Oryctolagus cuniculus: one gene and its partner. The protein of the gene in region 2 interacts with the protein of the main gene of each other region in a biochemical or structural test. Links are inferred from orthologs where the notes say so. Each region holds a gene or a part of one and is shown on either strand. Other genes may lie near its edges.

Region 1 (4,256 bases), about 62 Mb from region 2:
GAAAAAGTCAGGTTGTGAAGTCCCAGGTTAAGGATTTTAGACTTTATCCTGAAAGCAATAAAAACCTTTCAGAGTGTTTAAATAGAGGAGGACATCATCATATTTGTGGTGGTCAGTGGATTGGATCTGGAGCAACTGAAGGTTGCGCCAGTAGTTCATGTGATGGTGGAGGAAGAGAAGGGCAAGGACCTGCAAAGTAGAATTGACAAGACCTGACGTCCAGTTTGGTAGGCAGGTAGAGAGAATCTGGACTTTCGTCCAGGTTTCTGTTTTCACTGACTGCTGGATTGTGTGGTCGATTCACTGAGACCAGGAAGGCACAAGAGTCGCAAGGTTGGAGGGAAATGACTGGTAATAGTCAACATTCCAAAGGGCTGACTATGCTTAATTGTCACTATCATTTTTATGGCTTCAGGTAGGCTTAGAGAGATTAAGTTAAGGATACACAAGTACCACTTATTATGGAGAAAGTATGGTTTAAAAACGTTAAGATCCTATTACTAACATTTATATGGATGATACGTATTTGAAGCAAGACAATCTTGTTCCAGACTTTCAGCCACCAATGCTGTCCAGTACTGGACACGTTGAATCTGAGGTACAACAATGCATGCAGGTGAACGCTGTGGGGGAGGTTTTGGTAAATACATAATCTTTGCTCCAGGGCAAGGTTTGGAGAAAGTAGACATCATACAAAGAGAAAAACGGGAAAGGAAGCCATTTTTTTTTTTCTGTGTCAGGTCACCATGGTTATCCTTTGTCTCCCCACTTTGGCTCCCACATCCTACCCAAAGAAAACAATTAGAATCATAGATAATGTGGCTCTGAGATCACACGAAACCGTTTTCAAATTCAGTCCTTGGAAATGAGCTAACGAATGCGGTGGTGCTTTGTAAGCAGCAGTCCCTGAATCCTGAGGGTTAGCCGCCTTTTTCCGATTGCAGCCATCCCAGAAATTGCCCAAAGGTTTTCAGTCACAAAGTCCATAGCAAAGAAACCTGCGGCGGGTTGAGAGCACCCGCAGAGAGCAGAGGAGCGGGCGCAATGACGTCACAGGCAACCGGGTGATTCCCCAGCCTCTGGCGTCATGAGGCGATGACGTCATCCCGGCGCTCGCCCTCCCCCTCGCCTGGGCTGGTCTCGCTCACGTGGGCCAGCCGGCCCTCCCCGCCCCCTCCCACCTGCGGGAGGCGGGGCGGGCAGGGCTCCGCCGGCGCCGAGGCCTCACAGGGGCGGGGCGGGGGCCGGTGGGCGAGGCGGTCGGGCCCGGGAGGCGGCTTACAATAGGGCGCCTGCGGCGGGGCGGCGGCGGGCAGCGGCTGCCACTGGAACTGAAGGTGCCGGCTACACAGTGGACGCCCCCTCACGGCTGCCCACACACGCCCTCCCCCTCAGCTCGCCCATCGCGCCTCCCCGCCTCGCTCTGCTGTCCTACTCCGGAGACACTTTGCCCTCGGACTCTTCTTTTCTCCGAACCCCGCAGTCCCCAAAATCCCGCTCAAAGAACTCTGCCTCCCCATCGACTTCCCACCTCCCTCCGAGGCCGTCCGAGCCCCTCACATCCCCGCCCCTCTCAGCCCACCGAGCCGGCCCCGCAGCGCCTCCTCCCGCCTCACCGCCCCCTCCCTCGCAGGTCCCTCGGTCCTGAGGGGATCCCCAGAGCCAGCGGCCGGGGGGAGGCGCGCGGCGGCGGCGGCGGGAGGGAGAAAGTGAAGCGGCGGCTCGCGCACACTCGCGCGCTCACCCCCGGCCCGGCCGCCGCCACCGGGGTGGAGGAGCAGGAGGAGGAGCCGAGCGGAGCAGAGCGAGCACGGAAGGTAAGAGCCGGCCTCCGGTCGGTGCCCCTGGCGTTGCGGGCTGTCCCGGCTGAGGCGCGCGGTCGGGGTGGGCTGGACGGGGTGGGGGCCCTGGGCGCATTCATTCTGGGCGCCGGGTCCCGGCGGGCGGGGGCGCCAGGTGAGGTGAGGCGGGCGCCGCCCCGCGAGGCGGGCCGCTCCCGTCGGGCCAACAAAGGCCCCCTGTGCACGCACCCGCGCGACCGCCGGTCTCGGACGCCGGGACATCGGGGGGCCGGGAGGGGGGAGGCCCCGGCGGGGGAGGGGCCGGGCCGAGGCTGGGAGACCAGACAGGTCCGAGTCCGGGACCAGCTCCGTCCCGAACTTGGCCGTCCCGCAGCGCTCACCGTGGCCCGCGACGGGGAAGCCTGGCCACAGGGCGCCCGCTTCATTCTGCGTGGAAAAGTTCCCCAGTCCAGGCTTGGAGAGCCACCGTTAGGGTTCAACTTGAAAAGAAAACAGTAGTGCGATTTATGCAGCCCTTCCCCCATCCCGGGAGTACTCCCTAACTTAGGAAGGTGAAAACAATCGAGGAAGGGAGAATTATAGTTGTTTTGTATTAGCTATTCCATTTCAAAAGACATTATTACAGCGTTCACTGTTTTGAATATTTCAACGGTAAACATTACTGGCAGTGTTTTGGAAGAATACTTAAGAAGTACTGGGTGTGTGTCGGTGTTGCCAGTAAAATCCTTGTTAAACCCCTTGGATAATTGTCTTACACTTCACTGTATTTTTTAACTGTGAAAGGTGAAGGGAAAGGTTGGTATTGTGGTTACCAATAAACATTCAAATCCATCACTCTTGTCTTTAAAGAATTGTTCTTGGGAAAAATGTTTAATTTCGTCAACTGTGTATTTGAGCTTTCTCATCTCTTGTCAGGAGAAAACAGGAGTCCACAGTACAAAGATACCTCATTTGTCTTACCTTGTGGCTTTACCTACTTCCTGTGTGACCTTGAGCAGGTCACTTCCAGCCTTAAAATTCTAGGAGTTTGCTTTTGTGTCCCTGGAATGGGCAGGTAGGCAGCATACCTACTTCACTTTCAAGAGTCCAGTGAAGAATATGCCTCCCCCCAAGTCTTTGCTGGCATCTGTCCCCTCCCTCTCAGGTAGAGCTGACTTCTCCCCGTTGGGGCTTTCAGAGGCCCACTGAGATTTCTCCTATGGCACTTGTAGCATTTTAATTTCTGTTTGGGAAATCCTGAATCAGGTGCATATGAAACCTACCCCACATCAGCTCTAATTCTCAAAAAAGTTTTGGGAATATGGACCCTGAAACATTCCCTGAACCTTATACATACCTTTACGTGAGCTCGTGGGTCTACCTGGTAAAATTGCTTATTCAGTTATTCTCTTATCCATTATTACTGGAATCTGCTTCAAGCCTCTTGCCACAGCCATGGGGATTTCAAGAGTGTTAAGACCTTCCTTGTCTTCAAAGAGCTCAAAGTCTAGTGGGTGAGGTAGACAAGTAAACAATGCAGCCTGCCCTAATCTCCGGGGGACTTCAGTTGTACAGGGAGTAGTGTGCAATAATTGAGGTTGCTGGACCTGTTTTACAAGTTTGCTTCTGGCCAAATTGAGTTCTTCAGGCTGGCCCCTCATCCATAAGAAAAAGTAAAATTCTACATACATTTATTGAGCACAGGTTTTGAGACTCTGTATAGACTTGAAGGAAGCAGCACCTCAAAGGAAGGCATTTGTGTAACCACAGGGATTTTGTAAAACAAAGCGTAATCACTTAAGTAATTCCTACCTCTGACTATTCATTGTCAAAAGATAAATTTCAGACTCCTTAGCTTGGAACTAGAAACTGGAGATCTGAGCATTGTCTACCTTTGCAGCCTCAGTTTTGGTAAACTCTCTCCTACCACTTTTTTCTCATCTGTGCTTCCCCTTGTGCTGTTTCATCTGCCTAGAATGTCTGCCTTCTTCACCTTCCCTGCCTACAGAGGTGTCCTTGTAATAAGTTGCCTTTCCATCCTCTGGCTCATGTACACACCACGTTTTTAGTTCTGTCTGGCACTGTATTACAATTATGTTAAGTCTGTGCTTATCTTTTTTCACTAGCCTGTGAATTTCATGAGGGCATGATCTGTTTAGTTTTAGTGGCTAGCAAAGGACCTGGCATTGAATAAGTGTTTAAATGAATGAATATGTGTATAAAGAATAAAGTCAAGGCCCATGAGTTAGAGATTCCTAATAGTTTCTCAAAGTGTGGTCCCTGGATCACAGCTTCAGCATAATCTGGCATCTTGTTAGCAAATCAGTGGGTACTAGTTGAAACCTACACATGAACAACTCTGAGGTTGGGGCTCCCACAGAGACCTTTGCTTTAACAAGCTCTCTTAAGTGGTTCTGATGCTTGCTGAAGTTTGCAAACCAGTTTCAGAATTGCCTCCTGATACCCTAGTAGCTC
Region 2 (2,613 bases):
AGATGAGCGTACTGAGGCCCAGGGCGGAAGTCCGGCGTGCTGGCCAGCCCGGAGGCCGCCGGTGCGGGCAGGGCAGGCTGGCACCCGAGGCCGGCTCTCCGCTCCCGCTTCCTCCCGAGGAAGCCGCCTGCTAGCGGGCCTGCTCTCCGCCAATCGAGTGCTTGCTTTGCTGTTTTTAGTTTTGTTTTTTTTTTTTTTTTTTTTTTTGCAGCCTCGGGCAGATGGGGTGGGGAGGCCAGAGGAGCAGGGCCGAGGGGCCCAGGGTCACTCCCGGCCCTCCTCCTCCTGCGCGCCCGCCGCCGGCTCCGCGCCCCCACGGCCGACCCCGTCTCCCCGTCGGAGGCACCGCATGGGGGTCCACTCGCGGCCCGCGGGGCCGCGCCTCCTGCCGGGTCCCTGAGCGGCGCTGGCCCCCGGCCGGCCGCACAGTAGCCGCTCGCGGGGCCTGACCCAGCTAGGAACAGTGACCTCCCCGGGGAGCCCGCAGGGTTCCGGCCGCCGGCGGCCGCGGCGCCTGGTCGCCACCCTGGGGACGAGGCCCTGCGTCCGGCCGCGCGCCGCCTCGGCCCCTCGCCCAGCCTCCGTGACGGCGCGACCCTGGGCCTCGGGGCCCCAAACGACGGACAGAGGACACTCGGCGGCACAGAGGCTGGCTTTATTGGCGCCCTGGGGCGCGCGCGTCGGCCGCGCCGCCCCGCGGGGGAAGGTTCCGGCGGAGCAGCCGTTAGCCCCGGCTCGCCACCTGCGCCGGGCGGGGCCGCAGGGCCACTTCCGGAGGAACGCCGGGACTCCGACGGCTGCGGCACGCACCGGAAGGGGCTCGGGCGTCCAGACTGCGGGACTTCCGCCCACACCCGAGATGGCCGCCGCCGCCGACGGCAGCGGACTGGGTTTCGGGACTGTGGGGCCGAAGGTCACTGGGAAGGGGCGGAACCTCCTTTCCCCAAATTGCGATCCCACCAAGACTGGATGACGCGCGTCCAGCTGGAGCTTTCCCTCATCTGCATCGCTGTGCCCGCGCTCTTCGGGCGAGGCAGTCCCTTTGGGATGGGAAGAGGAAAGGGTTAAATGAGTCGCCTTTCCCCGGCGGTTCCGGTCAGGGTCCTCTCACTTCCGGAATCCCCGGGAGAACAATAAAGACCACAGTTCCCAGCATGCCCCGTACTGAGCGGTCCGGGAGGCACAGGATGCTGGGACCTTGGGAATGGGAACTGGCCGAACCGGCCGTATCGCACTGGAAGTGCCGCCTAGAATCCGTTAAGAGCCGGAGAACTAGCATCTATAAGACGAGACCGCAATTCAAAGTGAAAGTGGCGGCTCCGAAGCCGGAGCTAAAGAACCTAGGCACCCGGAAGGGGCTGGCCAGAAATACAGATACCAGCATGCCCCGCGCTCCAGAGAGCGTTGGTCCGGACTACAGGTCCCGGCATGCCCTGGGACTCCGGAAGGGGCCAGCTGCTGGGAGGCAGCCTGGAGCTGCCGCTTCTCTTAGGCTCGCGCTCACCTTGACGGAGCCCTCGAACTCGTCGCTCATCCTTCGGAGCTCGCGGCCGTAGCGCTGTGCAGCCCAGAGGTTGGGGGGCGCCGAGCGCGAGCGGCCCCGAAAGGGGCTGGGCTCCTCCTCGGCCCCTTCGCTGTCGTCCGCGTCCGCAGGGTACGAGCTGTGGCGGCTCCGGGTTTCCATAGCTCCGGCGCCTGCGGAGAGGGGTTTGGGGCGCGGCGGCGTGGGTCTCACCAACGCCGGCCGCACGCCCGGTCCCCTCCGCGGACGGGGACGGTTCAGTTCTCAGGAGTCCCCCCAGTCCTCACCGAGGCCCGATAGCGAGCGAGGCCTCGTGCACGAAATGAGCTTGCACCGTGCGCCGCATAGCGTCCGGCACAGCGGGAGTGGGTTCGGCGACGAGCGCGCCTTCGGCGGGGCCTCTGGTGCCCCGGAGCACCCCGTCCCGAGCCCTGCAGAGGGAGAGGCCGCGCCGAGCTGGGTGCGCGTGCGGGCGCCGGGGCACTTCGGGTTCTTCACCCGATCGCCCCAGGAGGTGGGCACCTTGGGGTGCCCTGGACGGGGCGCTAATCCTGGCCCTCAGCCGCTCGGTAGCGGGCGCAGCACGCACGGGCTCGGTGAGCGCCCGGGTCTGCCGCCGGCTCCGCCAGCCCTCCCCTCCCCCAGGCTTAGAAAGACCTAGAACCACTCCCGGAAGCAGAAGGCAGCGCTCCCAGCCAGGTGTGCCCCCGGGAAGGCCCGGGGCAGGGCTGGGGCGGAGCCTGGAGGTCAGCTTCCGGACCCTGCCCGACGGCGCCAGGCAGCCACCCAGAGGGTCTCCCCGCCGCTGGTCGGGGTCCCCTCACGGTTCCCGACGGCGTCTTCCGAGGGGTCGGGGGCGCCGAGTGAAGGGCCTGCTCTCCTCTGGGCAGTGGGGCAGCCCCGTCTCCCAGGACCACCGCGGGAACAGGGAGCCCGCGGCCGCCCTGCGCGGGAGTGAGCCAGTGCATCCAAGATTCCTTTGTCTTTCAAATAAAGTGAAAATCAAAACTAAACACTAGCGGGGATGTGGCCTGGGGCACAGAGGCGGTTTCCACCTGGGCTCCCCATCCTGGCCTGGGAGTCGGCAGAAG

Evidence for each region.
Region 1: of the proteins of BAD (region 2) and PAK1, one has a biochemical effect on the other in vitro, tested with the Homo sapiens proteins (3 studies listed by BioGRID). The link is inferred for Oryctolagus cuniculus from reciprocal best matches to the Homo sapiens genes BAD and PAK1.

The regions. Positions count from the first base shown.
Region 1 is NC_091432.1:68,610,512-68,614,767, reverse strand, and holds the start of PAK1 (serine/threonine-protein kinase PAK 1), read left to right. Parts: upstream 1-1,234; 5' UTR 1,235-1,817; intron 1,818-4,256. UniProt on the Homo sapiens protein: Protein kinase involved in intracellular signaling pathways downstream of integrins and receptor-type kinases that plays an important role in cytoskeleton dynamics, in cell adhesion, migration, proliferation, apoptosis, mitosis, and in vesicle-mediated transport processes.
Region 2 is NC_091432.1:7,043,378-7,045,990, reverse strand, and holds the end of BAD (bcl2-associated agonist of cell death), read right to left. Parts: intron 1,696-2,613; coding exon 1,505-1,695; intron 1,041-1,504; coding exon 915-1,040; 3' UTR 640-914; downstream 1-639. UniProt on the Homo sapiens protein: Promotes cell death. Successfully competes for the binding to Bcl-X(L), Bcl-2 and Bcl-W, thereby affecting the level of heterodimerization of these proteins with BAX. Can reverse the death repressor activity of Bcl-X(L), but not that of Bcl-2.